Linked DNA regions of Oryzias latipes. The protein of the gene in region 1 purifies or fractionates together with the protein of each later gene. This does not show direct contact. Links are inferred from orthologs where the notes say so. Each region holds a gene or a part of one and is shown on either strand. Other genes may lie near its edges.

Region 1 (16,875 bases):
GAGGACGCCAGGGAGTCCAGATCCCGATGCAACGTCACGGACTCAGACAGGAGAAGTTTGAGGAGTCACAGCAGAGCAAAGTGATGCAACAATTAGCCCCTAAGGAGGAATAATAATAATAATAAGGATGAATGCATTTGCCCCCCTCCCCACAGACTGATCCTGCAGCTGGCGCAGAAGACAGATGGAGTGATTGTAACCAACGACAACCTGAGAGACCTGCTGGATGAGTCTGTGGTGTGGAGGGACATCATCAGGAAGAGGTCAGCTGATCTGCTCACTGAAGACATCTTCAAGCTCCGCCTTTGTCTGTCTGACCTCCTTCTCCTGCAGGCTCCTGCAGTACACCTTTGTGGGGGACCTCTTCATGGTCCCTGATGACCCTCTGGGGAGGGGGGGGCCTCACCTGGACCAGTTTCTTAGCCTGCAACAGAGGTGAGTTCCTCAGTTTTCCTCCATGAAACTTTGATTTTCATGCCTCTAATTCCTTGTGTTCAGTTTCAGGACTGCGGTTCCAGGAAGCCACTCCTTTGCTGGTTTGTCTTCGACTCTCCCCTCTAAACCCCCCCGTTCCCAGACCGAAGTTCTGAACTTCCGTGACCGAACAGCAGTAGGTGCTTTAGGAGACGGGACAGGTCGCAGGCCCCCTGCCGGGCGCGCCCAGCGGGAGAACAGGACTGCAGAGCAAACGTCTGAGCTGAGGCTGAAGCTGTGCCAGGTCTTCCCCGGTCAGGACAGCATGGTGGCGCTGCAGCTGCAGCTCCACCCCGCAGAGACAGATGTCAACCTGCTGTCCAGTTTCATCCTAGAGCAGCAGGACTAAAATCTCCTGAAGTTTTTTTCAATCTTTCTTTTTTTTGGATCAGCAGTGTTTTTTTTGCTTCAGCTGTATTCCATTGAAGCAGCTTTATTTTGTGTGTGGGGAGCCGTGAAAACATTCTGGATAGAATGAAATGATTTCCATTTGTCACATGTCCTCCATGTGAAGGTGATCATGATTTTCCAGATTATATTTATAGACAATGTTAATAATTTGAAATGCAGGCTTTAATCTAGCTGATTTAGTCATTTTACAAACTCTTTTTTACAAACTTTTACTATTAAATTATTATTAAAGGTTTTTCAAAGGAGTTCCTGGGATCTTCTGTCAGGCTCTTTCATGAAAGCAAAGGCCCCCTGCTTGACAGCAGTCTACAGTTTAAGCAGCCCTCTCAGACTCCCGGCCTCCTGCTGGTTTTTCAGAAATCCTGCCTCGTCTGCTGCTGATTACCTGGATCTGGTTGTTTAGCCAGTGAGGAGCTTCATTAGCAGATTAATTTAAAATCATGTAGGACACAGGCCTGGCGTTTGAGCCCTGGGGTTTAAGGTGATCTCTGATCTCAGAAGTGGAACAGTGCATGTCCCCTTGGTCTGGCCCTGGTCTGGGTGGGGGATGTGATTGCCCTGCGGGTGGATTTCCTCGATCTGCTATACCACCTGGGTGTCGGGGTTCCTGGCTACTACTGCTGCTTTGGCGGGGGTCTTGGTGTGGAGGTGAATGGGCCCTTCCTCTTTTTACATTCCATCAAGAGGACAGGTGTTAGCTCACCTTTGCACAATAGTACACATGACTGAATGATAAATGCTTTACATGTGATGGTTTGTATGCATATGTATGTGTGTGAACTGTAGTTGTATTGTGTACGTGTTGACATGTACAATATGAAGAGTTTTGGAGCCAAGAGGCGTGTTTGTAAAATTTAAGTGTGCGTGGACAGGCCCCGCCCCTTTTGGACTAACATTTGCACCCGACAGTAATGATTATAAACTTCCAGCAACTTGTTGCTGTATGATTCTACCCCCGCTTCTATAATCATCCTCCTATTTACTTTATGCCCCCTTTCTCCCTTTTGTGCCCTTACCCCTCCCCAACATCCCTCTCTTCTTCCCTCCTCCTCTTTTCCATCTAATCCAACTGATACAAATACAATATAAATAAAGTTGTGGCCTAAATTACAAAAGGGGTTTATGCAAATATAAACCTTGTGAATAAGAAGATTCATAAACCTCTATTGTAACAGTAAAATATGTCCAACACAAGAGGCTTTCAGCTCACATCTGTTTGCTCAGCTGTTGGACAGGACAAGTTTAAAAAAGAAAAGGTATAACAATGTAAATGGTGTACACTTGTATACCGCTTTACAGTCACAGACCCATTAACACGCCGGTGGCGGCTCCGCTGCCGAACACTGGCGCCAACCTTCCACCAGAGGCAAGGTAGGCTTCAGTGTCTTGCACAAGACACTTAGACACATGGGTGGACAAGGCGGGAATTGAACCTACAATTTTCCGTTCAGGGGTCGACTGCGCAACTGCGGCACCACAGCCGTCCTGTAATGTACAGCCTTCAGCAGCCATGTGACCTTCGTCTGTCATGTAGCCTCCTTGCCTCCTCAAGTGGTTTTCATCTCATCTCTGCCTCAAAGTTCCTTTGGGATTTGAGCAGCAGCACAGCTGAAACCTCTATTTTAACTTCCTCATAGATTCTATCATTTTTGTTCATACAATGAACGGTAAATTCTTCTGAAATGACCAGCGCCACTACAACATCCATATTTATTCAGTTCTTACAAGAAGCAGGATCAATAATGTCTGTGATGACATGGAAGTCTAGCGACAGGTAGACAAAATCCTACAGCATAACGCCTTTATTACAGATGCAGATACAAAGGCTTGGGGAGGGGGGCAAGGTTATTGGGAACATCCAGAAAAAAAAACTACAGTTAAATAAGGAGAACAAGGTGTGGGGGCAGAAGATCAGTCTGTAACAGATCAAGTGGGTGGGTGTTCTCCAGAATGTCATGAAGATGATGCTGATGACGAAGGTCTGGGGAATAAATGTCAATCTGGTGCCAGAAGAACCTCAGCTGCAGATGTAGCAAGCACCTCCTCCTCAGTGGACCAGCTCCAGCTGGCTGCTGGAGAAGGGCAGCACGCCGCTCACGTAGTAGGCGATGCCGAGTGAGAGGAGGGCAATGACCACCAGAAGCAGCAGGACCCTCCAGAAGCCCAGATCCTCCACGAACTCCTGCCAGGTGGTCCTGAAGCTGGACAGCACCCCCTCGCTGCTCTGCAGGTGGGGGTTCAGTAAGGAATGACTCTCCATGGCGCTGGCAGCAGAAGAAGAAAGACTTCAGACCAAAGAAATTGAGTCCTATGAGGTCACATGACCACTGAACTCTGTGCACATGGATGCGACACCCCCACATACACACTTCTGAATGTCATGCACCCCCATTACCTCTCACTGTCAGCCATCTGCATGGTCTCCAGCTTGGAGTGAGCCCCTCTGTTGAAGCCCTTCACTTCCTGCTCCTCCAGACCCTCCAGGAGGCGGATGGCGTCTTTGTTCACGCCCCGCCTCTTTGCCAGCACCAGGGGGGTGGAGCCATTGTGGTTACTGAAGCCAGGGATTAGACACAGAAACAGGGGAGGGTAAGTCAAACTGAAAAAAAAAATAAAAACATGCAGCATCCTTTCTGTAAAAATGGGCCATAATCCAATCCCACAATCCTTTGCTGTAACCAAATGAAACATTGGTTTTAGAGAGTGACCACAGACACGGACATGCTTGTAAAGGATTCTGTTTGAATCCTTCCTATGCTGTGGAACAAACAGCAGCGATGACAGAGAGCCACTAACCAAATGTCAATCTTCAGTCCATTGGACACCAGGAACTGGATGGTGTCCACATGGCCGCACAGATGCAGCGCTGTGTTCCCCTGGTAGTCTGTAGCGAGAAGGTCAGCGCCAAACTTGTGCAGGAGGCGACAGATGTCCACGTTTCCTCGCGCCGCAGCCAAGTGCAGGCCTGTGCGGCCACGGTTGTCGCGGATGTTGGGGTCGCATCCCGTTTCTAGGAGTTTCTTGGCGAAAGGCAGGTCCCCGTCGATGCAGGCCTGCAGCTGGGGCACGCTGGTCTGCGACGAGTCATTGATGAAGACATAGGACATGTCCGAGTGGGTGTCAGAAAATTCCAGCGTACCTGCAGGAAAACAAGCGGGAAACGGGATGAGAAACCTCAGCAACTCATTTAACCCTTGTGCTATCCTAGGCACTTTAACATTGGGAGTTGGGTCATCTAGACCCCACTAGACAGTGCGCTGAACCTTTTCTCTTCAATGATTTGTGGTCTTCACTGGTGTCCATGGATTACATGAAATCTTTCCACCTTTATCCACCTTTGTCATGGTAGGGATAACACGTCAATGTAAGGGTGGGGTCATCTAAGATAGCACAAGGGTTAAGGCTTCTGCAAACATCTGTGAAGCTTCTGTGAGACCCCCGTCCCATTCCAGAAGTTTCCACTCTACTAAATATTCCAGTCCACTCTCAGTGCAAATGGAACACAGAAGAAGACATTGGGAAGGACGACAACTCTGACTTCTTAAGTGAAAGGGAACATCTGGGTTAGTCTTGTACAAAGTTTGGATCCATCTCTTTGTTTGACCTTGTAAAAAATCAAGGCCACAGGATCTATAGATTATTCAAAAGCTGTCTTGCAGCAAATTAGGATGAATTATATTACAGCATCACTATGATTCTCCCTTAACCACAGCGCAGAGCTCCTCTGCTGATCAATCAAGAACATCTGACATGGGAGCAGAATGCTTCAAAAGCTGCTCCCCATCAACAGCTGATGTTAACATGATGTCAGTGAAAGTTTTGTGGTCAATCATCAGTTTCGGTGCTGCCTACCTCTGATGAACAGTGGGCGGGGCTTTTTACACTGGTGGTTTTAAGTGCAGTAAAGTTAGGCTATTAATCACAGCATGAAATACTGGAAACTGGATTAGAGTCTGTCACAATCGGACTACTGCCAGCCATTGTCTTCCACAGTCTTTCTATTATAGACCTTTGGGAAACTAGACATGAATACACCACCCAGCCTACTTACCGTGCAGTTATATGCAACCATGGCAAAAAGTTCGTTCATGGAGCCTTGGTTCTCCCTGTGGGTCTGATCGTGCTCTCTAATGCAGTTATGCAGATGACACTCAGCTTTGTGTAACTGTCACCAAACCATCATAGTCTATCAGACTCCCTGCTGCTCAGAGCAGCAGAACTCCTACATGAACTTTATTGAGTTCAAAAATGACAGACAGAAGTCTCTGTTATTGGGAACAAGAAAAAAAGAATGAAGATCAGTGATTTTTAGAGGAATGAAGATCAATCTTAACAGTCATGCCAAACTCAGAGCTGAGTATCTGTGTCACGTGGAATAATAATAATACTAATACATTTTAGGACTCTTAAGGCCACTGTTTTTTTCTGATTTGTTTTCTGATTTGAAATGGTTTATTTCAAGCAATCAAATAGAAATAATACACAAAAACAATATAATCATCAGTTATACATTCATACAGTAACTAATCAAACTTAGGATAATTAGACATAATTAATAAATATTGCTTGAAAGGGAGTGGAAAGAAGCGAACTTATATAATCCCACCCCGTTATACTATAACCATTTTATTACATGATTTATCAATATCCGGTTCCTAGGTTTTATCAGACAGAATTAACAATCATAAGGTATCAATAAAGCACATGCCAAAGATGAATTACTTAAGTACTACGTCAAAAATAACTATTTTAGAAATCAACATGGCAAATGCAGCATCTGAAATATATGCAAATTATGTTACTTTTAAAAGTCATTCATATGCTTTAAAACATAATACTATATCAGTAAAATAGACACAACACTGTTTCAGGAATTTTCATAGCAAAATTTCATCAAGTATCAAAAGTTAAAAACATGTGCAAAGTTATGCTACATTAGGAAAGATTTTTGAATCAATTTATCAATTTTAGGAGCTAGTGAAGTAATATCATCAAAAGTCAATCAATTTAACAATTTTCAATAAGTGATTAATCATTTGTTTTACTTTTTTTAAATATTTTTTTGTATTTTTATTTTATTTTTATTTTTAAAAATTTTTTTTTATAATAAAGAAATGCTGTAGGGCAGTGTTTTTCAACCTTTTTTGAGCCACGGCACACTTTAACCTTGACAAAAATCCCGCGGCACACCAGCATCCCAAAAAAAAAAAAAAAAAAAAAGCAGAAACTCATAGTCTGTTTTGATCTACAGCCCCCCCCCCCCCCCGGCAATCTGACGTGCATTTTTGTGATAATTGTGGCAGAAAAAGCAGGAAGTTGCAGATGTTTTTCTAAAAGATGTAATAAAAGTTAAGTTACATACAAACTGTATGTTCGTTGTGTTTTCAAGACGCTGTCCCTTTAAGCCAATGCATCATGGGAGATGTAGTGTGAAAACTGCGAGAAAACGGCAGAAAGACTCGCGTCTCTGAGCTTCATGGTTTTGTTCACTTGTTCCACGGTCTGATACCGGATTCTGTGGAAAGCTCCACCGCTATAGACGAGCTTTAGCTGGTGTTTTTGTCGGAACTGACTGAGTTATGAGCTAAATTAACCACTTCTGATTGGTCAGACTGATGACGTGATTAATCCTTCAAGAATGATTGGTGGAGTCGTGGAGACAGTAAAAGCTGCGGGACTTTTCCTTACACAGTTATAGCTGCAGCTATTTCGCGTTACCGTCATTCTTATCAAAATGTCTTTAATAGAATCAAATAAACACAACGAAAAAAGTATTTTATGATCGTTTATATTCCTAACTACTCAGTGTTTTATCAGGACATGTTTGGATGAACAAAGAGCTGATTTCCTGGAGATGGTTAATGTTTTTAGATCAGTTAATGAGGGCAATTTTCCACGGCACACTTGACCATCTCCCACGGCACACTAGTGTGCCGCGGCACACTGGTTGAAAAACACTGCTGTAGGGGAAGAGTAAAAAGGGTCCATAACTGTCGATTGTCCAAGGTTGGTATTTCTGTACAAATAAAACAGATAAAACATGATAAAAAAAACAGAGAAGAAAGACAGAAACGGTGAGAAGGTGGGAAATATGTGATTTCCTGTACAGATATGTTTTGAGTTTGGATTTGAAGAGGGACAAAGACTCTTAAATCTGGTGTAAAAGAGTTCCAGAGTTTGGCCAAGCCCCCATGGTGCTGAGGCGGGGTAAGGGTAAAGTCAGGTGAAGGGAGGATGAAGAGCTAAGGTGTGAAAGTGTGACGACTTTGACGAGAGCAGACAGGCGGGAAAGGGAGAAATCGTGGATGGCGTTAAAGGTGTGCAGAAGGATTGTGTAAAAAATTGTTGATTGGACCGGAAGCCAGTGGGGTGGCTGTAAATCCGTTATTCCATCTCAGTCACAGACTCTGAGTTTTGATGTCTGGATTTAAACCGATTCATGCCTTCATTTCCTGTGGGGCAGATGGTTGGAACAGTCTTCAGAAAACTGCAGTCAGTTTAAACCAGAACCAGGAGAAATGCCCGCATCACGTCTGTTTTAACCTTCTTACACCGGGTACCAGTTGCAGAACTGGTTTATTTAGTTCCACTTTGATGAAAATTATGTTTTTAACTTTTTCTTGTGGCATTTTTTCCTGATTATGGAGGACATACATAAGGAAATTCATCTTAAAATTGCATTTCGGATCATTTGTGAATCAGGAGCAGATGGAAAAATGCGGTTTGAAAAAAAATGGGCGTGAAGGTAGACCTGCTCTGTTCCATTCTGGAGCATCCATTCTGGAGCATCCACTTGTAGACCTAGATCCATGTAGATCCTTACAAACCCCCCCTCACACCCCAGCATAACTTCAGCAGTATTGGAGCTATCCAGCCGTAGAGTTTTGAGCCAGATTCCAGTTCAAAGGAGGACAACGAAGATGTACCAGATGCTTTTGTAGGTTCTATGTGATGCTGTTATAGGTTCTATTTGATGCTTTTGTAGGTTCTGTGATGCTTTTGTAGGTTCTATGTGATGCTTTTGTAGGTTCTACATCACACCAACAATCTACAATCACAGCTTTTTTATGCTTCTGATTCACATTTTTTTTAAATTCTCAGAAATGCAATTTTATGATGATTTTTTTATCATATACTGTTAGAAAAATACCAAGGACTTGTTAAAAACACAATTTTCATGTATCGATTTCTGCTTTGTTATTAAATTACTGCAACTAAAAGAGTGTGTGTTCTAACTGAACATCTTTAATATTAAGGATCTTCTCTTTTGCCTTTTCGTTTGTGTTATGCTGTGCCATGTAGTCACAACAAGAACTGTTAGTTCATTTATAAAAGTGTTTGTAGATCAATCTAATTTGTTTACAAAGTTGTTAACCAGTTACGTGGTAACCAGGCAGAATAACTAGTTAACACCGATAGCCGGGTTAAAAAATAGCCTGAACCTAACGTGTTGTAAGTAGGCTTAACTAACCACAGGCAGGTGAGTATGCGAATAGGTGGAAGCGTAAATAAACAACTGTTTTATGACGTCATCGCCGAGAGAAAAAGATCCAGATGTTAGGGAGCTAAGGCTAAGGGAGCTAACTGCTTACGAACCACTCAAACCGAGGGCTCAAACCTGAGCTTCAATACCCACACCGAGAGCAAATTTTTCTTTCGACTCAAAGCTGTTGCCTTGTCCGCGCATCTCACCTGTTTTGAGGATCCAAGTCAGAAGAAAAACAGCTCTCCGTTGCCTGACACTGCTGAGATGCTAATCCTGTCTGACTCTTGTCTGGTTTTACCGGCGTCCAAACCGCATTTTAGTGCAACACCGCCACCTGCTGGACCGGAGCAGAACATTCATGTTTTTTTTGGTGTTTTCCATTTCACAAACTAATCCTCTCAGAGGGAATGCTGGAGAGTTCTGGACAGTTCCCTTTTCCATCAAAATGTGTTTTTTCATGTTAGAAGTGGTAAGAGTGCCACTAAACAGCAAAGCAAACAAAGAGCGTCAAACAATACTGTTTATTTTGTATTAATTATTTGCTTTTGTTCCCAAGACTTTTATCAAAACAACGTTTCTGCAATGAAATAAAAGACTTGTCCATAAAAAATAAACATCAAATTTTTCCAGGTAGAAAACCCCCCAAAAAAAGTATTTATTTTAAAGAATTATGAGCACCACTGTCCTCCTGAGGGACTTCAATGCCCACGGGGGAATGACAATGGCACCTGGATGAGTGTGATCTGTAGGTATGGCCTCCCTGATCTGATCCCGAGTGGTGTGTTATCATTGGACTTCTGTGCTCATCACAGTTTGTCCATAACGAACACCATGTTCAAGCACAAGGGTGTCCATCAATACACTTGGCGTCAGGACACCCTCAGCAGGAGTCTTGGACACTCAGGTAAAGAGAGGACCAGGGCTCTCCACCGATCCATACCTGATGGTCAGTTGGATTCTCTGGCAGGGAAGGAGGCTGGAAAGACTTGGCAGACCTAAAAGTACCGTGAGGGTCTGTTGGGAACGTCTGGCTGAGCCCTCCATCAGGGGAGTCTTTAACTCCCAAAGAGTGCTTCAAACGGGTACCAAGGGAGGCTGGTGACATTGAGCCAGAGTGGACCATGTTTTTTTCCTGTGTTTCTTTTGTCCTGTGTGTGTCTCTGGTCCTGTGTGTGTCTTTGGTGTCTTTTATATGTTACTATCACCAATTAAACAACCATAAAAATAAATGGATATGGAAAATAAAGAAAATAGTTAGTGAAGAATGACATTGTTAGAATGAGTTGAGTAATTTAAGCCCCCCGATGATCCAGGTGTTGAGCAATGGTCTCTGTGCGCCGTTTTACCTCGCAGCTTGCGCCCACTACCCCTCCCCTTCTCCTCCTCACACACACACACGCCTCTTTCTCAAAGGCGGGAGAGCCAATTCGCAAGGTTCAGGCCGTTCCATACTCTGCCATATAATTCATGACAGCAGAAATAAAGTGCCACAATTACTAATAGCAAGCACTGAATCGGCACCCTCTACTATCCAGGCAAGTACCGTTGCGCCCGAGTCTTAAGTCACTATCCTCTTACTTAGTAGCGGCCCAACTGGACATGTCCGAATCTGCTACCCGTGCCCATGCAAAGCACAACCCCGGTTTGTTGAGAATGACACTCACAAGTTAGTGGACAATCAAATCTGCCCGTTTATTTTGAAAACACCCACCACCAGCCAAACAGCATTAACCTCACTTCCGCTTACAGCTCCCTCACTTAAGTGAGCGATTTAACACACCCGAGATTCCCCACTTCCCATTAGTCTTAAAAGCTGAAGACGAGGCTAACCCCCAGATCGCCACAATATAATTATTTGCCATATGAGCAGTGCTATTTTTGGAGCAATCCCTGCTCGGGGGCGCATGGGCACCGGCAGGCACAGGGTTGGTGACCCCTGAACTAGAATGGTTGAATGCTATATTGGTAAATGAAATTAAACTAAAAGACTAATAATTGGCTAAATAAATAATTAAATAAATGATCATAGTTGACCATAAATAAAGTTAAAACAGCACAATAACAAGTTGTGCACCACAGCTCACGTGTCATGCCACAACGCCACCAAACGGATACAGTGGACAGGACAGATAACAGCTGTTTGTGATCATTTAGTGATGCAGCGACTCTACGGCTTTTCTACTGTCTGGCATCTGGGATGATTTAAAATAAAAGTAAAACTAACATCTTGACAAAAAATACATTTTTGAAAAGCCAAAAAAAAACTTCCCATGATTTTATATATTTCTTATTTGGATTGATTTGACATTCTAGATGTGAGGCTTTGTTTGTAAAAGTTGAAGGCTTTTTTCCTCCGTCGACTGGCACAGCGTATGACGTCACGCCAAAGCAGGGGAGATTGTTGAAAAGTAATAAAAGTTTGAAATCAATTCGTGAAAAACTGGCAAAAATACGTTGTAGTCTAGCCTTGTGAGCATTTTAACTTTTTAATGGTGTCTCTAGCTGAAAGAATGCCAAAATAAGAAGCTTCTAACAGGGGGAACTTTGGTGAAAATGCCTCTCCCATTGAAACCTGTATAAAGCTTAAAATACCACAAAGTTTAAAGGTTTACATAAAAAAAACCTAAAACATATTTGAAAAATCTGAAAGAATTGAAAGAATTGGAATCAGTTTAAAACATTGTGATTAATTTGCAGTTTGAAAGGTGTCTCTAGCTCAAAGTATGTTGAAGTTATACTGGTGGAAAGAAGAAAAGGTTTTCAAGGATTCCCAATGTATTTCAATGGAGGCAAAAATCCTGGAAATCCTGGAATATCTTGAAAAGTTCAAGGATTTGAAGGACCAAATTTCATAACTTGGAAATAGCTGAACATTTAATAGCTGAATGGTTAAAATAACAAAAAAAAATTGTAGGAGTTAAGCAGCAAAACATGGCGGAAGATACTATGATAAAGGAATAACCCTTGTGCTATCTTAGATGACCCCACCCTCACATTGACGTGTTCTCCCTACCATGACAAAGGTGGATAAAGGTGGAAAGATTTCATGTAATCCATGGACACCAGTGAAGATCATAAATCATTGAAGAAAAAAGGTTCAGAGCACTGTCTAGTGGGTCTAGATGACCCAACTCCCAACGTTAAAGTGCCTAGGATAGCATAAGGCTAAAGAGAAACAAGAAAACAGTGGGCTGAATGCTTTATGGCCTTCAACCAAATATTTTGTTTGATGGAAAACTCTGGTCTGTAGATGCAGATACAGAAACAGGTCAAAATGAAATGGGTGCCTTTATCATGAAATGTCAGATTTTGGTTAGATACCATTTTAATCTGGTGTGTAGATCGATCAAGTTCAGCAATGGTTATTTCTGACTTTGGATTTTAGGTTAAAATCCTATCAGTTTTTCAAAGTAAGAATGTGGAGGATCTTGTAGTTTGCAGCTTTTTTCAAAAAATGTCCAAACAAAACACACAGCAGCCAAGACTATTCATTGTATTTTAATTCTTATACATCCTCTTTGAGGAAAACTGCATCTCTTTCTTCAGGATTCTGCTGAATAAAACATTTGTTTCTGAGTGTGGCGTTAAACAGACAATGAAAATTGTTATGTTTGATATAGTTTTCAAACATTTTATAAAAAAACATCCTGGAGGCATTTTTCTCTTTATAGTTTCATGTTTACCATGTTTACACTTAGTTTTCATTCTATTCCCTCCAATAGCAGTAAATAAGGCGGGATATTATGACATCAGACACATAATTACATTCTAGATTACAAAAGAACAAAAACTGAGCAGGAAAAAAGGCTGAAACCTCAGAAGCAGCACAGATACAGTGGTCAAAAAAGGTCATAAGGTCATAAAGGTCTATTTAGAGTAAACAAACTGAAAAATGACTTTATTGAGAATTTAAATCCGCTCAGGAAACCGCGAAAAGTGAAAGTTTCTTCAGTGAGAACACAGAAGCAGAGAAACCCAGAGATCAAACTGAAGCTGTTGGTATTAAAGTCAGTGTGTGGATGAAGCAGAAAGGGGAGGGGCAGAATCAGCTGAGGCTCAACATCAGTACAGTCAGGGGGTTAGTCCGAGTCAAGAAAACTCAGTTTTTACTGCATGACCTTACAGAGATATGATTCTGGTTAGATTTCAGGGAGGTGGAACATCAGATAAGTATTAGATCTGAATGGTTAGGCACACACACAAAAAACAAACAAAAAAACAACAGGTATTCAGCTCCTCTTCTTCAGCTCTTGTATTGTGTCCGGGTAAAAATTGACCTGTTTTCAGTCTTGAAAATAGGTAACTGTGCTAGGATAAACTGTAGACAGGATCTGTTAGGAGGGAAATGTGCCAACAGGCATTTGGTCGTACAGACATTTCATCATCATCATCATCATCATCATCATCATCATCATCATCATCATCATCATCATCATCATTTCAGAAAGTGATCTCTGAGTACTTAGTCTGACTCAGAGGCAGAGTTAGGTTAGATTTGATTCAGTTTACAACCAGGTTTGACTCAAGACTGAGATATTTAATTAAAGTTAGAATTTTGTTTGATTTAGGATATATTATTTATCAAATTCTGGTTTAAACCGGGTTTTTGTCAGGTTTAAACTAGGTTTGACTGGCATTTGAGTTAAAAGATTTTAAAGTTTAAACCAGATTTGATTAGGTTTAAATTTGATTTGTTTTGGGTTTGAATCAGGTCTGATTCAGGTTTAAATAGTTTTTTTTCCAAGTATGCATTAAATTTAATAAAAACTTAAACCAGATTTTAATTTGAATATAGTTTTATTTGGGTTTAAACCAGGTTCGACTCAGGATTGAATAAAAATGATCCAAGTTTAAACCAGATTTATCTTGCTTGAACTGCATTTGTTTTTTTGGTTTGAACCAGAGGTTATATCTAGATTTAACTAGATATAAACCAGATTTGACTTAAACTAGAGTTAGATTAAATTCAGGTCAAACACGTTTGAATTTTATGCAATTCAGATCAAGTCGGGTTTAAGTGAGATTTTAATTATGTTTTAATCTCATGTTTTTGAGATGGGATGAGGTTGGATTAAATTGAAGTTGAAACTAGGTTTGTGTGAGATTGATATAACTTCATACCAGTTTTGAGTGAGACTTTATTTTTTTTGCAAAAAACAGGTTGAAATTAATATGTTTTTGTGTTTGTGATAATTAGATTCTCATGTTGTCTGGCTGCTTTAAAGGAACAGGGTGAACCTAAAGCCATCCAAAACACCTTTGGACTCTTTGTCTGTATAGTTTAAAGACAAACCTTATTTAACACGTGTACAGAAATTCATGTACGATTGACAGCAGGTTCCCAATGTAAGCATACAATCAAAACCAAGTTGACAATTAATAAACATGAAGTGGGAGTGGAGTTCAGGTGGGGAAAGCATACAGAGCACACAGAAGGAAAGAAAACAGAGGCCAGCTGAAGTCAAAGCTGAGGGAGAATAGCACCATAATCAGTTATAATGAGGAAGATGCAAACACGTCTTTCCTCACTCTGGCTTCTTCTTTCATAGATTCACTGTTTGTGGGGGGGCTCATTTTTTTCAGTCACAAGATCCCGTTCACCAGCGTCTCCACCTGTCTTTTTTCTGAAAGTGTTATCATGTCCCCCCATGGCTATGCCTACAGCAGTTTGCTGCAGACCTGACAGCGACTGACTCTGGAGCGCTCCTGGCCCGCCTTCAGGGTCTCCTGGTTTGGTGAAGACACAAACTCCCGCTTGGGATCCACGGTGGTCAGCCAGAAGCTGTATTTGTTGGCAAAGTAGTGGCATGTGCCTTTGGCTCCATTGCACTCAATGAATGGAGTGGCGCGGAAATCCTCCAAGCAGGAGCCGGGAGACATCAGGGACTGACCGCCGCCTTCTGCACCAGCCGCCGTGTGCTGTGGTCGAGACAAGAAAACACACAATTAAGTTAGTTCCTGATAAATTCTCACAGTCTTCATGATGTAACATGATCGCTATTTTAAAGTCCTACTCTGATCATCTTTTTATGCCTTTTTAACCAAATAAAAAAAACCTGTGTAGTTTTCTGGAACATGGTTTTTAGAAACTCTGAGTTGTGGGCGGGACTGTCCCGTTGTTCAAACGCTCTCACGCTAACTTACAGCCCCTAACTACCCCAACTTAACATTGGCGTTGCAACAAAAATAGTGAGCAATATTTGAGGTATCCAACTGTATAGTTTTGAGTCAGAAAACTAAGGCTCATGGATGCCGTTGTCTAGAAGTGGATGCATCAAAATGGAGCAGAGCAGAAAACCTGTGGCCCACCCAACGTATTTTCTACATCTCAACTACAAGGATTGTAACATGACATTTTTACATCTGCTCCTGATTTACCGCAATTTAAATAAAGAAAATACTCGGAAATGCAATTTTAAGCTTAAATTTACCTATAGAAGTACATCATCATCAAAAAAAAGCTACAAGAACATGTAAAAAACACCAAAAACACAATTTTCGTTGGAGTTGACCTTTAAGCTTTTTTTATAGACAACTGGTAATGCCAAAAATGACTAAGGTTAAAGTCAAGTTTGTCCCAGATTAGTTTCAGGTAGAAATAGAAATTTAGGAAAGTCTGGATAAAGTCTGAACAAATCGGCTGGGTAGCTCGGGTGGTAAGGTGAGAGGCTACCATGCAGGAGTCCAGGGTTCAATTCCCGAAGGGGGATAAACAATGGTACTGGGTAAATTACCATATCAATGGCGAGCAGTTAACATCACCCAGTGGGGGCCCTTAGGCAAGACCCTTAACGCTACTGCCTCCCGAGCGCAGTTAGGCTGCAGCTCACTGCTCCCCCAGGGGATGGGTCAAAATGCAGAGAAGAATTTTCCCATTGTGGGATCAGTAAAGTATCAATTATTAATTTAAGTCAGGTTCCAATTAAATTAGGTTTCAATCAGATTTGACTTAAGTTTATTTTAGGTTTGATTTAGGATTGATTTAATTAAAAAATCAGATTAACAAAGTTGATTAAAGATTTAGCCAGTTGTAGGTTAGGTTTTTATCAGGTTTAAACTATTTTTTTAAATTTAGATTTACATTAATATTTTCTAATATTTTTCTAAGTGTAAATCAAATCTATTTTTTATTCTAATCTGTGATTAAAAGATTGAAGATACAAAAGCACATTTGTGTTTATCAAAAGTTGTCTCCTGTTTAGTTTTTTAGGACTCACCATCAAGAAGGAATATCCAATCCAAAGACTTCTCCACCCAGGGGGGCACATGGGGATGGTCATGTCCTGACTGTGGACCGCCACAGCCTGAGATGGTGCCTCACATACTGAACATCTGGAGGATTCAAACGAAAAGGTTTGATGTCTCATTGAAACGTTCCACACACCGACTGATTGTTAAGTTCAGAGAACAAACTCCTCGTCTATCTTTAAGCCTTCAAACTTTCTGTGGTGAAGCTGATGATAAAGCTGGTGGTCGTTGTGCTGCTACAGACGTAGACGCTGGGAGGGGAGGGGTCATTCTAAGATGAAATAGGTGTTTTCCTTCACATGCCTCCACACACATGATTTCTTTTTTAATCCTAAATGGAGAAATCATTGTTGTAGTCCCTCACTTGTTGTTTCTTTTGTCTATGAACGGTTGTCCCTGCGTTTCTGTCCGTCCCTTTCCTGTACCCTATAGAACACTGGTCCCCAGTCTTTTTCAGCCCAATGACAGGTATAGTGTCAGACAAATTTTCACAGACTGGTCTGTACAAGGTCAAAGTGTTTTTTTGTTTTGTTACCAGTCTCCCTTAACGTTTGAGGGTTAAGTTTATCTTCCTACTGTGAAATACACAAATTAATTAAACTAATGCACGATGGCGCAGTATTTAGCGCTCTTGCTTCACAGCAAGAAGGTCCCTGGTTCAAGTCCCAGCTGGGGCACCTGAAACAGAACATCAATGTGTAGAGTTTGCATGTTCTCCCCATGTGTGGCATTTCTCCGAGGACTCCAGCTTCCTCCCATTGTCCAAAAAACATGGGATAAGTTGATCTAAATTGTCCATAGGTGTAAATGTGAGAGTGCATGGATGTGTGATTGTGACAGACTGGCGACCTGTCCAGGGTGTCCCCTGCCTTTGCCTGCAAGTGGCCTGGTTAGGTTCTAAGGTCAATCGGATGATTTGTTGACATTTGGAGGTAGTACTGTGGTAGTCTGGGGGCAGAAATGTTCCGTCTAACCCAACACAACCCATCCCAAATGCACGCACCATGCACCGTGACTCTGAGGCTGTCCTTTTCTCCTTTATTTGCAAACTACTCACATAAATCAGGCGAGCACAACTCATGTGATATTTGCATCTGAAATAGGAAGGATGAACTTGTTTGAGCATTTATGTGAACGTGTGAAACTAAGGGGAGGGAGGAAAAAAAATATTTACATACACAAATAATTATGCATATCAGTAGCATATAATTTTATTTTGTCCGCTGCACATGTTTTCTCGTGCACTAAGAATGGTG
Region 2 (16,775 bases), on another chromosome or scaffold:
GGGGTCCAGATGACCCCACCCTTACATTGACGTGTTCTCCATACCATGACAAAGATGGATAAAGGTGGAAAGATTTCATGTAATCCATGGACACCAGTGAAGATCACAAATCATTGAAGAAAAAAGGTTCAGAGCACTGTCTAGTGGGTCTAGATGACCCAACTCCCAATGCTAAAGTGCCTAGGATAGCACAAGGGTTAAGATGTAGACAACAATTACATATATAGTGGGGCAAAAAAGTATTTAGTCAGCCAACAATTGTGCAAGTTTTCCCACCTAAAATGATGAGAGAGGCCTGTAATTTACATCATAGGAAAACCTGAACTACGAAAGACAAAATGAGAAAAAAAATCCCCCAAAAAAATCACAATGTCTGATTTTTACTTGTAAAATATGGTGAAAAATAACTATTTGGTCATCTACAAATACGCAAGATTTCTGTCTCTCCCAGACCTGTAACTTCTTCTGTAGAGGATCCTCTGTCCTTCACTAATTACCTGTATTAATGGCACCTGTTTGAACTGGTTATCTATATAAAGGACACCTGTTCACAAACTCAAACAGTCACACTCCAAACTCCACTATGACCAAGACCAAAGAGCTGTCTAAGGACACCAGAAACCCAATAGTTGACCTGCACCAGACTGGAAAGACTGAATCTGCAACAAGTAAGAAGCTTGGTGTGAAGAAATCAACTGTAAGATCAAATATTAGGAAATGGAAGACATGCAAGACCACTGATAATATCCCCCCATCTGGAGCTCCACCAAGATGTCACCCCGTGGGGTCAAAATGGTCACAAGAACGGTGAGTAGCGAAGGCCAAATTGACGTCTCGTGAAGCACTGACCAACTTCGGCCCAACTGTGCTGAAACCAACACTTGGCAAGGATCATTTAAGTAAGAAATAGTGACATCTGCTGGTTGTCTGTTGTTAATGCATCCAAGTACACATGCAGGCAAAAGCTCCTGACTTTAAAGCTCAGTCTATGTTGGTCTTTTAGAGAAATGATTGATCAAAGGTGTGTAATTTTCATTTTACCTGGATAATGCTATGCCAGCTAATTGATGTGACAAATATGTTGCATGGTAATATTTGCTTTGGATATACAATTGGCAACATGATCATCTCCACTAGTGATGAGTCGGGCGCAATTGAAAGGGGAGCGTCAACACAAAAATGGTACTGGGAAAAGGAGCAAAATGTGGAACCATTTGACTTTTAAATATAATAAAAGATCATAAAAGAGTGTAGAGTGTACATGGAATAAATTCCATATAAAACCAGCTCCACAGCAGATGAAATGCTAATGAGTCTTTTTTTTTTGGCTTTCACAATGTAACTTTTATTCTGAATTGTGGTTCCAGTGTTTTGTGTTGATTTGCTTCCCTTTTTTTTTTTTTTTTTTTTAAAGGAGAAATAAAAATGTAAGCAAATAAAAGTTGAATTGTAAATAACTGGTTTTGTTTTTTTTCTTTTACATTATTTATTCATGTTGTGCATGATCCTATATTAACAAATTAAAGAAAGCAAAAAATAGACGTAAAGAGCCGTTTGAGAGCCCAAAGAGGCTCTTTTTTAGTGAACTGACCTAGAACAGCCGAGTTGCTAAAAGGAGCCGGGATTTCCATCACAAGGGACCCACACTGGCAACAATGTTTGCTCTGTTAGAAAGCCTGGCTAAAGTGCTGCACCTATTTGTTAAAACCACGGGTCAAACAGCTCCACCATTGACGCATTTCAATGTGCTAAAACAAGTGATGCGACATAACAAGGCTTTGTTTCCATTGGTCACATGATCTGCCGTCAACTCCAATCAATACTGAGCGACACTTCCAGTTTAAAAAAAAAAATCAATGCCGGTGAATGGTGAACAAAAATCCCAAAACCACACGGGGGACCCAGTGAATGACCTGGGACCAAAGTAACGAAGGCTACCATCAATGACGCACTACACCGCCAGGGACTCAAACCCTGCAGGGCCAGACGTGTCCCCCTGCTAAAGCCAGTACATGTGCAGGCCCGTCTAAAGCTGGCTAGAGAGCATTTGGAGGATCCAGAAGAGGATTGGAAGAATGTCCTAGGGTGAGATGAAACCAAAATACAACTCTGGTAAAAACTGTACTTGTTGTATTTGGAGGAGAAAGAATACTGAGTTGCATCCAAAGAACACCAGACCTACTGTAAAGGAAAGCATGAATGGGGCCATGTATGGTCAGATTCTGAGCGAAAAACTCCTTCCATCAGCAAGGGCATTGAAGATAAAAACGTGGCTGTGTCTTTCAGCATGACAACCATCCCAAACACACTGTGCGGGTAACAAAGGAGGGGCTTGGTAAGAAGATGTCAAGGTCCTGGAGTGGCCTAGCCAGTTCCCAGATATTAACCCCATAGAAAATCTTTGGAGGGAGTTGAAAGTCTGTGTTGCCCAGAGACAGCCCCAAAATATCTCTGCTATAGAGGAGATCTGCATGGAGGAACGGGCCAAAATACCAGCAACTGTTAATGAAAACCTTGTGAAGACTTAACAATACAACAAGTACTGAGTTGAATGTTTATTATTGGCCAAATACTTATGTTCCGCCATAATTTACAAATAAATTCTTTAAAAATCAGTGAATTTCTGGATTTTATTTCTCATGTCGTCTCTAATAGTCGAGGTATTCCTATGATGAAAATGACAGGCCTCTCTCAAAATTTGTAAGTGGTAGAACTTGCACACTTGGTGACTGACTAAATACTTTTTGTCCCACTGTATTAAAAGACTGTATTAGTTTACAGAACCAGTGGAGTTTGAAGACAACTTTCCATTTGGTCCAGGTGCAAATTATGGAGTAAAATACACTGCTCAATAAGAATACAGGGAACACTACAAAAACACATCCTGAAAAAACAAGAGACATGATGTCCCAGATGTGCTCAGCTGGATTCTGGTCTGGTCCATTCTATCACTACCTTTGGCTAGCAGAAACTGCTGACACACTCCAGCCACATGTGGTCCAGCATTGTCTGGATTAGGAGGAACCGAGGACCAATCACATCAGCATCTGGTCTCACAGGAGTCCCAGGATCTCATCTTGGTGCCTACTGGCACTTAAGCCTCCTCTGGAGAGCACACAGAGAGCTCTGTGGCTCCAAACTGTTACTGACACACTGCCAAACTGCCAAGTTGGACGATGTTGGAGGCAGCAGAATGTCCTCCACGCCGTCTCCAGACCCTGGAGGTCAATTTGCCGGGCTCTGGCAGTGCTCCTCCCGTTTCTCCTTGCTCAAAGGAGGTGGTAGTGGTCCTGATGCCGGCTGGTTGCCCTCCTCCACATCTCCTGATGTACTGGCTTTTCTCCCGGCAGCGCCTCCATCCTCTGGACACTACCTTGACAGCAAACCTTCTCGCCTCAGCACGCATTGACGTAGATCCTGCATGAGCTGCCCCACCTGTGTGGGCCGTCGACGGCGTCTCGTGGTACCGCTGGAGCGACATCATTGTTGGCGTTAAAAAGTTTTCTGTGGTCACCATGTCCAGAACCACTCCTGTACTGGAGGGTTTTGCTGATCGCCTATTATGGTCTGTTCCACTTCCACTAAAACATGTGAAACTGGCCGTCAGTCAGTGCTGCTTCCTGATTGGACAGTTTGATTACACAGAAGTGTGATTGACTCGTTCTTTAGATGTCCCCCTTATTTTTTTGAGCAGTGTATTTTGTGTTTGGAATTAATCAACCTGAAATAAACAGTCTGTAAGGACGCCATGGCACGTTCCTCTGCTGCAGGATTGCAGAACTCCCTCCTCTGAGGGACATTTTGTTGAAAAACCTCAACAGAGTTTTCTTTGATAAACAGATTTGTTCCTTTGCTTTGACCAGAGCCAGACCTCATTGTGTTTTCTTTTTGGCAACCATCAGAGCCTCAAGTGAGGTTAGTCACTGAAATCCCACTTACAGTAGCAGGTCCCTTTGAGGGGGTTGCCTTGGTAACGACTCTCCACTTCACACCTGAAAGGAAGGAATTGAAAATAGAAGAAACAGGAAGAGGGAAAAACAGAAAAGGAAGAGAGAGGTGATGAAAAAGGGCTGGGCTTCACTTCAGGCCGTGAAGACATTCAGGCTATAACCTGGGTCCCCGAGAACGTATATATTTATAAGAAAACAGCTTCATTTCTTTTAACAGGTTCGTTCAAAACTGCCAATGATGATGAGAATGGAGGAGTGTGTGAAGCATGAGAAGGCCAGTGGAATCAGACTCACAGGTGGCATCGGTCTCCTTTGATACCCTTGGTGGTGCAGAAACATTTGCCATTGTTGGGGTTGCACATGCTGGCGTGGCCATTACACTTGCAGGCTGGAACAGGACAGGAAGCAGGGATAAATGGAAAGCTCACACACTTGGAATAAAAACCATCTTTGACTCAAACTCTGTGTTTGATTGTGAGCTAACAGAGTTCAGGCACTTTGACACAGAAATGTTGGTTTGCTACGAAAACAAAAAAACTTGGTTTACAGACAGGCTCATCAGTTGACGGAATCTTGCTGTGTAAACTGTGTTTTTCACAGAGAAAACAGTTTTAAGGTGGAAATGACATCTCACATACGGTAACAGCATGGAGGCAAGAAGCTCAATTAACCTGCTGGCGTGATTACTTTTTTTCCTGGGTTGACTGACTGTCAATTCTTTCACTTCCCAGAGGAAGGATTTGAGGACTCACCGAAACAGCCCACATTAAACAGAACTGTAAAAGGCCACGCAGTAAATGATGTCGAGTGCAGGAAAACTGACTGGTTGCTGTAGTCAGAGACTGACACTTACGCTGGCAGCTGCCGCCGTTGGTTGGGTCTCCGTAGTATCCAGAGACGCAGCTCTCGCACTGTCGGCCGGTGGTCAGGTCCTCGCACTTCTCACAGACGCTCTCGTTGACGCACTGACTGTGGCCATTACACTGACACGCTGCCAACCAAGAAACAAAGCGGTGCATCTGAGCGCAGGGCATTCTGTAAAAGCTGGGAAGCGTATGTGATAAAAAAAACACAACACCTTTCTCGACATGAAAACGTGTCAGGAAGGGTGTTATTTGTCATGTGAACACGACAACCTACAGCACTCAGATTGTCACAAACTTCTTCAGATGGAAGAAGTGCAGAGCACTTTGCTTTGCATGACTGCATCTCCTGTCATACCAGCATCTGAGCTAACCCTCCGGACCCCGCCCCTTTACCTGGACAGTGGATGAAGGACCAGTCGTATTTGGCCTCGCTCGGACACATGCTGGAGTTGAGAGCTGGATGGGGGCTGGCGGGTAGGCCTGGCTGGGTGGAGGGGGCCGGGACGGCGGTCTGGAAGGGCCCGCGGTAAGAACCTTCGATGCACTGGCCTTTGCCTGTGTTGCTGGGGTCGGTGCACCAGCCGCAGCCCGGCTGGTCCAAACACTGCCCACATGTTCTGTACCCCGAACAGTTTTCCGCTGCAGCAGAAAAGAATGTAATCACTTCAATGAAAAAATAAAATAAAATCTTCAGAGCAAACATCTTTCTTGTTTATTTTTAGCCAAAAAATGTGCAAACCTGTGCGGAGCACGCAAGTCACCCGCAAGAAATATCAAAGTAGTAGATCGCTTAGAAAACCCGCACAGAGAAATGCAAATTGTTTTCTAGAGGTATCTTCCAGATGAAAAGTTACAGTAAACATTTATACATCATTTGAGGGTAAGTAAGGGTGAAAAACGCAAGATTCAGGCGCGTAATACAGATTTATTCTTTTTTTTCAATCCCTGCCAAATCCATCGGGTTGTGCAAGGAGCCCGAAAGTGCTGTTCACGTGATCCGTGCATGCTAAGGAAATTAGACCCACAGAGTGTAGTTAGTGTGGACATCAGGCATCCTATAGGCATCACTTGCGTACCTGCACACCCCGTTTGTGAAGAATTTGCATGGAGTCAGTAAAGATCCAATATTCACACCTTACTAACGACCAGAGTGTGGTGTAAGGACGACAGTATCACCCACCCATACGTCTACATCAACTCCTGCGGTGCCTGACGTGTCCCCCTACTAAAGCGCGTCCATGTGCAGGTCCGTCTTACAAATAGTTCACGATACTCTCACCACACGCATGACAATATGTTCCATTTTCAGGACATCCCTTAAGGGAACTGAAGAGACACCTTTGCTCCAGATAAGGTGGCTCCCCAGACAATCCAGAGAACCTGCAGCCCCCCTATGGGTCAATCCCCATGCAGGTGCATGTGACTAAGTCAAAATCCAGGTGAGCGATCTGCCCGAAATACTGGCACTGAGATTTCTAAGTCTCTTTCCTTCCCCATGTAGCAGTGCCACATTATAAATCGTATTTTCATTTTACTGTTGGAAAAACAGACAGTTATTGGATTCCACAATTAGCCACATTATGGATCCCCTATTTAATTATTTTGTCAACATGTTCGACATGTCATATTAGTTTTATTTATATGTATATGTGTGCAGACCAACTATGTCTATTAGGCCTGCACAATAGACCGCAAATTTATCGTTATCGCAATATCCAGCTCTGCAATATGCATATCGCAAAAGACGGCGAATATCGCAATAAATCGCAAACCCAAAATGAGTTAAAACAATCTTCTAGCAGCTTGAAGCATTTAACGAATCAAATAAATCCCTTTATGCTTTGACCAATCAGATGGACGCCTTCCCATTGTTGACCAATCAGATGGAGGTCTATTATGTTAACCCTGGTCCTGAAGAGCCTCAACCCTGCCTGTTTTCCAGCTCTCCTTAACCAGCTTGCTGTTGATTGGCTGACTCAAGTGATTTCACATCCTGATTGACTGAACACACCTGATTTTGGTTATCATTATCGAGCAGTCTAGGGAGAATTGGTAAACAGACAGGGTTGAGGCTCTTGAGGACCAGGGTTAGCCACCCTGACGTTTGTCCCCCATGTTGATGAGGGTCATTTGGAGTATAATTTTTAAACTGTTGCAATGAAATGGGAATGATGTTTTTGTTTATTTTTCTATTTGTTTATTTACCGCAAATTTAGTGTTATCGCAATATTGATCACTAATATCGCATATCGCAAGTTTTCCTCATATCGTGCAGCCCTAATGTCTATGTTGTAAAAAGAAATGGTGTATATTTGATAAGAGTCACGGTGTGACGCTTATGTGACTGACTACGGCTAAAAAAGGGAGGAGACTCCGAAAGACACCGTCACTGCCGCTTCTGGTAATACAACACGGCCCGATGGTTTCAGATATGACGGCTGTTTCTCTGGGTGCATCGTTTGAGTGTATGCAGGCACTTTCAGCTACACATCATGTGGTCTTCCCTTTGATCGGTAATTCCTACGGTAATTAATTCAACTGAACCGGTAAAAAGCTGCTGTCCATCTGAATGTGGACGGAGCGTTACGGGCCCGCCATCTTTGAGACTACTTTGTTCTAGGAGACGGAAGACGCCAAAGAAACTCTTAACTAACAGAGTATAAATAGTAAAAAAAGCCGGATGTATTAGGGGGATATGTTGTATATATCTGTTTATATTTCAATAATAACAGTGTTACTGAGAAACACCACTGAGTCGCGTTGGCGTTGTTTTGTGTAAACATACTGTAAAGAAGGAAGGTGATCCCCGTTTGTTTTTTGCAATTACTCTCATTGACCGTTTAGGGTTTCAACTCTGCATTTGAACTGATGATCTCCTTCATTCTGGGTGTTGAGAATGTTCTGGAGCAGCAAACAACCGTCTGCTTCTATTAAGCTGCTCTCACTTCAACAAAGCAGCAGTTTGGGCTGGCATAATAACACGGTTCATAAACATGTTCATGTATCATACATGGCAGTGTAGTCACTTCATGTGTTCGAGTTGACAAGACGAGCTCAGTTGAAACACAGGTACATTTTATATTTTTGGTGTGCTTTGCTCGTTACCAAAGAGCAGAAGAACGTACGTGGACAAGTGCTCAGCGTGTACCACTCCATACACTGGCCGAAGGGGAAGGAGGCCACATAGGCGTTGGAGTCGACGCACTGCTTCATGTTGCTGCACCACATGCACTCGGAGCTGCTGCTGGTGCACTCGCTGCAGGTGCTTCTCATGGCACACGGGGTCCGGCACTGTTTGGCACTGTGGTTGGCTGAAGAGAAAGAGCAGACAGAGTTTTCCTCTGCGCACCCAGGACCTGCAGGACAAACACGCCTGCCGCGTCCATGTTAGTTCCATCTCAGTAAACTTTCAATATTAGAATACATTCAGGTACATTGTTCCCTCCCACCAATGAACTTCCTTTATAGTTGAGGATTTTATCATTAAGACCATTCTTAATTAATTGAGTAGTTTTACTTTAGTGTTCAGACAGAAGTCACTGACGTTTAAAAAAAGACACGTTATCCACGACTGCCTAAAAGACCGTGACAGCGCGTGTTCAGTGACGGTCTGACCACGAAGACGTTGGAGCGAAACTTTTCAACCAACTCCACAGCAAGATGAAGACACTTTGTGTCAAACTTCATGAGGTTTGCAACATGAAGCAAATGACAGGGAGTGTGTACTGCTCCCTTCATCGAGGGGGACCCAGCCGGAGACGGGACAGTGCCCAGATTCAATGCATCCTTTTCATGTGAATAAACGGTTAAGTGTGCAAGATGAGCTTAAAATGGAGCAAAAAACTGTAATTCTTTATTCATTTCAAGATGTGTATTCACAAAAGTGTTCCATGTTTGTAAAACTGTTAAATGAATCAGCATATTCTGTCGCAGAGAAAAGCGGCTCCTTATATTCGTAATGTGTCGCATCTCAGTAAAAAACACTTTGAAGTGTTGCTTCCCGACGCAAAGTTGCCTTTTTCTCTGCATATCAGCTAATTCAGTTTGATTGAAGTTATGGTATGGACGTGAAAGAAGCCAGAATATTACTAAAGTGCAGCTATGTGAATTATGCAGAACAACATTGTATAGGAAACCCTGAAAATGCAAAGAGACACGCTTACGAAGCCCAGTTCAAACTGAAAACTATCAGCTATGCGGAGGAACATGGGAATCGAGCAGCTGCCAGAGAATTCAAGATGAATGAATCCATGCTTCACAAGTGGAGGAAGCTGGAAAACAAACTGACAAGTCAAGATGACGCAGGCGAGGTGGTCTGAGTGGAAGACTGACTGGAACGACCGCTGTGAAAAAACAAGTGAAGCAAATGAACTCGGAGCTCACTGTCATTCCGGGAGGCTGGACGAAGGAACTCCAACCGCTGGACATCAGTGTGAACAGAGCTTCAAAGTAAGGTTGCAAAAGGCGTGGGAGCGGTGTTGAATGGCGAACACAGTTTTGTTAAGACTGGGAGGCGGCGCCGGGCGAGTTACTCCACAATCTGTGAATGGATGGTAGAAGCTTGGGCTGACGTGTCTGCTCGCACTGTTCTTCGGGGTTTCGCAAAAGCTGGCATCATTCATAGGGAGCCGCACAGCAACAAGACGGACTCTGACGACGACAGAAGTGAACCCGGCGGGGGTGATAGAAATCTAGCCCAGCTGTTCATTTCAGACACAGAAGATGAGGACTTTGATGGATTTTTGGATGCTGATTGATGACTGAAAAAATGAAAAATAAATCCCAACCAACTCAGTTTGGTCCCGCTGCCTTTTTTAAAACACACACTAGCACGCATGCTTTACCAGTATGTGTTAACGTGCCCGCACCTTAAAACCCTGTGCGCCTTTTGTGTCTGTACAGAAAAATCATCCATAACTGCGCCCTGTAACCCAGTGCGCCCTATGGTCGTGAAAATACTGTAGTCTCTTCAACCAGGCTAGCGATGTCCGGGGACCATTCCGTTGTCTGCCGCCAGGTCCTCTTGCCGTCACTGAAGACAGTAGCAGTTCTCTCCGTTTGAGATTGTTTTAATGCCGGGCAACAATAGTCAAGCCCATTGGTGGTCCGGTTATTGATGACGGCTAAAATACAGGCTTTTGGTCATGAAAACACTACAACGGTGTGGGTAGGAAGAAAAACTGTCCAAACCGTGAAAAGGAAGAGCTGAATTCAAAAAGGAAGAGCTGACCTGGCCGTTCACACAAGCTGCCGTTCACGGGGTTGATGCAGGTCTGCGCCTTCAGCCCGCTGGGTGCTGGCTCTGCCAGGTACCCGCAGAATCCCGCATCGCTCGGCTCGCCAGGCAGCCACTGCAAGATGGTGTTGGTGAAGGGCGACATGTCCTCCCAGCACCAATAGGACACGTTGATTTTCCTCAGTCCCACCCACGGCGTGTACTGATGGAAACACACAAAAAGGGTTTACTGCTTTCAGGTTTGGGCATCCGTCAGCACCAAAATCACCTGTCAAGCGTCCATGGAAAGGGTTAGCGTGGGCACTTCAGTTCCACCAAATCCATGAGAAACGTCTGTACCACAGAAACCTCCTCTTTTAGCAGAAAACACTTTGTTGTTTCATCAACAGCAGTCATTCTTTATCCATTTATGTAGCAATGATCAAAAAAAGCTCACTCTCTAGAGCTTGAATTCATTTCTTATCAATCTTATCAATCGAGCCAGAAAATGCGTAAAAATGCGGATCGGCCCCAATGGAGTCCATCTAAACCAGCAGGAAGAATGTTTTCAACTGCTTCCACAGCAGATTACCTTCAACTCTGAGGAAACAGACACAATCTTTATGTTTACATCATGACCATGATGCATTTATTCTAAAGGTTACAAACCCAACGACGACAACAACTCAGAAGCCGTACACAAATGCAGTAGAGAAAGCCCCTGGTCCTCCATTTTCTGCCCAGAACCAAACAACCTGTCTGTTTTAGTGAGCTTTTCCATTATGCTAAAGAGAGTTGCACATTGGAATAACAGTTCTTTTCTGACATTTTTACTAGATCCACTTGTGTTAGGTTGATGTCTGAAGGCATCCAGACCTTAGGACCTGTTCTGGAAGAACCAAGGTGTTTGTAAACAAGAATAAATCATCAAAACTTGATGGCTAAAGTCTAAAACCTTCTCAAGAATCTTCATGAGCTTGTCGTGACAGTAGATGGGAGTTTACAAGGCAAAAACGGAATTTTTAGAAACTAAAAATACAAATTAGTTTCAAAAGGTTTTCCCCAGGAAAATAATCTTTAGAGAAAATGTCTTTTTTTCTCCTTGGTAAGACCATTTTTCTAACCACAGTGGCAGATTTCTTTTTTTGCTCATTTAGAGAAAATCTGCCAATGGGCGAAGACTTATTGACTCCTTTCTTGGGTTTTTGCAATCATGCAAACAAACCTTTCACCCATGTTCCCTTCAACAATCCAGCCAGTAATTTATTGTCTGACCAACTTTGATTAACTGGTAACTACGCCCCTTTTTTTGTGCTCAGTAGTGTTTAAGCTGCATTCAAGTTCGACTAAAGTATTTTTGAAATAACATGTTACGTTTTTGCACCCTTCCAGATGTAAAGCTTGACTATTTGACAGAATAGTTAGAAAGATCTAATGATCACGTCAGAGTTTAACTCACAAACATGCGGTCTTAACTAAGGCCCGTCCAGTCCAAGGACGTATCATACTATTCAACAAAGGACAAGACAAATATCCTTTTAATACAATAAAAGAAAGACATTGGTAAAATGATGGCTGAACATTTCCCTCCTAAATGTTTTGGTTCATTTTTAACAAGATAGCAATGATAGTTCAGCTAATCTAGTATTTTTACATCATGGACTCTCTCATTATCTGATGGCACCAATTCTCCTGAGGACAAAACAGAATTTCATTCAATGCCAGCCTTGGTCTCCATCCTTACCACCAGGCTCATGCTCTGCAGCTCCTTCAACACAAAGTCCACCTTCTTCTGTGTGGTGAGCGAAGCCAGCAGGGCGTTGTGGCTCCTGCACGCCAGTTTGGCGTTGTCATACGTGTCCTTCGCTGTGATAAACTTCAGACAGGAGTTGCCGACCAGGTGCCAGTTTTCTCCACACACATTTTCTGGAAGAGAAAGAACTGTAAAGATTTCCTTTTTTGTTTTCCTTCAACTTTATAAAGAGAAAGAAAACATTGTTTTTCCTATCAGTGGAGTGGCAAAAGCTCCAGCTTTTATTTTGAAGGTGTAATCCTGAAAGTAACATCATTTCTTCCACCATAGAGATTTCCTTGAGACCATCGATTTAGAAATAAAAAAAATCCCTAAAGCTTCAATCTGCAATCAGAAATGTGTCCGCTGCGCTATAACAGCTGACATTCTCCATCCTATCCAATAATCATGTAAAGTTTTTTAGTTCTAATTCACTAAAAAAAGCCTTTCATGCTGTACAACAATATGGCTGTAGTTTGTACACCGCAGAACAGAATCAAAGAACATGGAAAGATTTCAAAGAAGGTCTCTCCTATTGGACTTGATGGCAGCAGCACAAAGCTCTTGAAGCTGGAATGGGGTGGTGTTCCCCCCACTGGGGGGTCCTCCATTCCTCAAACACCAGGCCTCATGTTTGGTAACCCAGCAGGAGGACCCTAAAGCCTTGTTTCCACTGAGCGGTACCGTCCGGTGCCAGTCCGGGTTAGAATGGTCCAGGCATTTAAGGTGAGCGTTTTTACTCAAAGCCGGAACCGTCGTGGCGCATTCGGAGTGAATCTAACAAGAACAACAATGGAGGTCATCCAGCAGCTCATCGTTTGCTTCTTCGTATCTACAAAGCATTTAATGTTGTTTGAGAGATGATTGCGGGCGGCGAAGAGAAATACAGACGCTTTCTTGGAGCGTTCTCTTGTCGTAATGACCTTAAGCCAATCAACGGGTTTCAACTGTAGCTCCGCCCTCACCGGTCCGTTCCATTTTTCTATGCACCTTCAACCAACAGTGGCCCACAATGGTGTGGCCTAATGGGTCCATTTAATAATGGAAACGCTCCAAATGGGCTGTACCATACCGTGGCGCTCATTAAAAGGTTTCATGTTGTGAAGGCTCAGACTGCATCCAGGACGGTCCGGCAGTTAGATCCTTGCAGGAAAAATGTGTTTCTTCTGTCACAGATGCAGCGTTCTCCAAACAGACAGCGGTTTCTATTACAGTCATGCCTCTTTATAATGCTGTAATGTCTCCAGATTTGAACCATTCTGTCTTGTACCCCGCACATGAAGATTTCTTCATCTACACTGACAGTTTAGCAGATGTCACATATATCTCACATGGACGATTGATTCTGAAATTGTTCAAGCATTTGAAGATCCAACTTTTTTGGTAGTTAAACTTTATTGAAGAGAAATTTCGGCTAAATATTCCTATTAGAACAATTCAATCTGCTACGATGGAGTTTTGGGGCCACCACAAAGATAAAAATAAAATAGTAAAATTACGAGATTTAAAGTAGTAAATTTACAACAAAAAAACTTGTACATTTACGAGATTTAAATTCATAGATTTACTAGTTTTTTTTTACAAATACTTGAGATTTAAAGTCGTAGATTTACGAGATTAAAGTGGAAGTGATCTTACAGAGCAGCAAGTGAACGCCGGGCAGCAGCAGAGCAGACCCACTAAACACAATTGAAACAGGTGAGCTGAATATTTATATTCATGTTTTATTTATTGTTGGACGGCTTGCAGGATCTCTGCATCCGTTGATGAAGACGTCCGTGTCCCTGCAGCTGTCCACTTCAAACGCTGCAGAAAACGCTCCACATTTTTCATCTTCAAGCTAAGCTAGGATAAAAAGACAGCTTTGGCGTTTTTCCTCGTTAATCTGACTTTTTTTTAAGTATTAAATTTACGACCTAAAAGTCGTAATAAAAAAAAATATATTGTTTGTAAACTGGCCCTAAAACTCTGTCGTACTTTGCCAGACTTTATGGTAACCTTTTTTTAAAAGTTCTTAGCTTTGCTCTTGCCATCAGATTCTCACATTTTTCATGAATGTCCCACATTTAGCCTCCAATGTTTCTGATGGTTTTTCAGCCATGAACTCATTAATTTGAAATGTTGAATTTATCTGCATTTTTTTTTTCATACTTAACCTCACAATCCAAAAGAACATATTTGTGTGCATGTGCTCTGCCCAAAAGCGTAAAGGTTTTTTTTAATGGATGCAGTTACCTGGCAGCTGCACACAGTTCTGGTTGCGAATATCCCACTGACAGTTTTGGTCGACGGAACAGCTCTTGCAGCTGGTTTTCTTCTGGCACACATATAAGGGACTGTCCTTGGGGCAGACGTCATATTCTACTATGGAGCCCTGAGAGGGAAGAGCAGAAAACACCTCAGGCAACAGATGTGGTTCTTTTCTTATCACCTGTGGGGCTTTTTGAGCAGCAAATGCCTTCAGGCAGACCTTAAAGTCCCAACACGGCACCTCAGCAGGTTTAAACCCGGGCTTTGACTTTTGAAACACCTTCATTTGATGTTTTCCGGTCAGTTTGTTGTCAATTTGTAGTGACATTATCCAATCGTTTAGGGTTTTTTTTCACATACATAGACTGGATTTTTCCAGAACACCCAGTTTTTCATGCTGACTCACAGTTGCACCGTTCAGGCTCTAATGCTGCAAGACATCCCATATCATTATCCTTATCATACCATGCTCAGCAGTGGGGTCCAGCTGGTTATAAAACATTGAAATGTTGAGATGGAATATGAGCCTATTACTACAGTGCTTCTCTGGTGACAAAAACCCTCCCAAACAAAGCTTCTCCATCGACAGTGCTTTGTCCATTAGAGAGAAAGAAAGCCTTTTTTGTTGATTAAAGCCTGTAAAGAGATTGGAGCTCCAAGGCTGAAGAAGCATCTGGTCATGAGGAAAAGTGGCAGCTATATTTTTCCCCATGACCATTCTTCTTCCGGATCTTTGAAGGCCTCGGCGTGGTCAAAGCTGGACTCTTCAGAGGAAACTCACCGTGGCAGAAGTGCAGTTGCTCCCCATGGAGAGGCACTTGCCGGAGCACCACTGGCAGACGTTGGTGTTGGCGGTGCAGCTGTAGCAGTCAGTGTATTGATCACAGCGCTCGTTATCAGCATCTGCAATGTTTAAAGGAAACATATTCAATCATTGCTTTATTCTGAAGAAAAAACAGCATAACTTTGCAGACACAGACAAGCTGACTTCTGACGCCAACAGGAAAACAGCAGGATGGAAGTGGGGGACTTTTAATGTTTTAAAGGGAACTAACAAAATGAAAAATAATAAAGGGCAACATGAGGAAGAGACATTTTATCCAGGCCATTTTTTTTAATCTCTCCAATTTACCGTATTTCCTAAACTATAAGCGCACCTAAAAGCCTTTATTTTGTTCAGAAATATTTAATCCCAAGCGTCTTACATATGGACTACTTCTGCTGTAAACAAGGTTGGATGTTATTGTGAATACGTTATAGCAGCTAACGTGTAGCTGTGTCTGACTGTTTAAAAAAAAAAAAAATTATGTGTTACTAACAAGGTTAACATCTGTCGTTGTGTCCTTGGGCAAGACACTTCACCCTCCCTGCCTCCAGTGTGGCTCCACTAGTGTGTGCATGTGTATGAATGTCCCGGTGATGGTCAGAGGGGCCGTAGACGTGAACTGGCAGCTACGCCTCTGTCAGTCTGCCCCAGGGCAGCTGAGGCTACAACCATAGCTACCCTCACCAAGTATGAATGAGGAGTGAATGAATAATGGACACACTGTAAGCGCTTTGAGTGTCTGGAAAAAGCGCAGATAAATCCAATCCATTATTAAGGTTGGGAGTTAGCGTAGCGACAGCTGACGTGTAGCATGTTACGAACACGTTCTACAATTACAGTGAATGCAGTTTATTAAGTCTGACTGACTGACAAAGTTATCTGTGGGCGTATTCAGACTGGAAAAGTCTGTTGGTCCAGACCGAGTCTGCTTAATCTGGTCCGGACAGAGTCCTGAACCTTGTGTTATATCTGTATTCAAGACTGGGGTCTACCGGAGATTTCAGTTTTGAACTGAAGCCTGTTAGCAAAACCATGTGACTAAAGATCTCAGTCATTGGCCAGGAATTACGAGGGCGGGGCAAAGCAACTAGAGGCAGAAATTAGGGAAGTGCTGCGCTTTGCAATCCTCGTTTACTAGTTATAGTTTACATTTGGCCGACAAATTTTGAGCGTCTGTATCAAAGTCAACACTTTTGACTTTGGTACGGTGTAGGGTTGCTGCAAGGCGGTTACTGAGGAGACAGCCGCTAAGACGGTACGCTGATAAGTGTTTATGACATTTAGATTGTTAGGAAAACAGTGAGAAGCAATGTGGATCACGTTCAAAGTTGTTTTAATGAGCCTGCATTCGTCCAACCACATTTTAAAGAGTTGCTGTTGCATCACTGATTCACATTTGTCTCTGTTTACATCCCATAATGCCCGGCTACCATGGCTGTTTTGGTTCAGCTGTTCCACTCCGAGAACAGATTGTTTTCAGGCTAAGGAAAGTCAAAGCGAACCGGAGCGTTGTCCGATTGAAATCGAACAGAGACCACCTCCAAAGACGGCTCAGAGAGCGGTTCCTGGGTCCGGACCAGGGTCCACTTGGATGTAATTCTTCTGGATTATTGGGGGAAACGAACCCTGCTTAACTTTAAGCGAACCACGTGTGTCAGGTGTGAATACGCCCTCTCACTCTTGTCTTGTTTAATGTGCCATATAGTTCGCCTTATGACATCATTTCAAAAACAGACCATTCCTCATGCTGTGCCCTGTATTGCAGAAACCACGGTATTTGTGACAAACTTCATAATTATTCTCCAGGGGTTGAGAACATCATTTCTTTTAAGGAGGAATAAAAACTAGTTGGCAACCATTTAAAACAAATATTCTT

The links.
Region 2: the proteins of ankrd46 (region 1) and atrn purify together in Homo sapiens (co-immunoprecipitation; 3 studies listed by BioGRID and IntAct, with this or other methods). This does not show direct contact. The link is inferred for Oryzias latipes from reciprocal best matches to the Homo sapiens genes ANKRD46 and ATRN.

Annotation. Positions count from the first base shown.
Region 1 is NC_019876.2:21,532,591-21,549,465, forward strand, and holds ankrd46 (ankyrin repeat domain-containing protein 46), read right to left. Parts: upstream 8,697-16,875; 5' UTR 8,578-8,696; intron 4,025-8,577; 5' UTR 3,993-4,024; coding exon 3,682-3,992; intron 3,440-3,681; coding exon 3,281-3,439; intron 3,150-3,280; coding exon 2,933-3,149; 3' UTR 2,565-2,932; downstream 1-2,564. Other genes in the region: protein KHNYN, read left to right, coding at 156-263, 334-435, 499-823; collagen alpha-6(IV) chain, read right to left, coding at 14,030-14,290, 15,589-15,703.
Region 2 is NC_019880.2:22,424,410-22,441,184, reverse strand, and holds part of atrn (attractin), read right to left. Parts: intron 14,977-16,775; coding exon 14,855-14,976; intron 14,198-14,854; coding exon 14,059-14,197; intron 11,973-14,058; coding exon 11,776-11,972; intron 10,255-11,775; coding exon 10,047-10,254; intron 8,128-10,046; coding exon 7,942-8,127; intron 5,456-7,941; coding exon 5,210-5,455; intron 4,942-5,209; coding exon 4,804-4,941; intron 4,339-4,803; coding exon 4,245-4,338; intron 3,993-4,244; coding exon 3,940-3,992; intron 1-3,939. UniProt on the Homo sapiens protein: Involved in the initial immune cell clustering during inflammatory response and may regulate chemotactic activity of chemokines. May play a role in melanocortin signaling pathways that regulate energy homeostasis and hair color.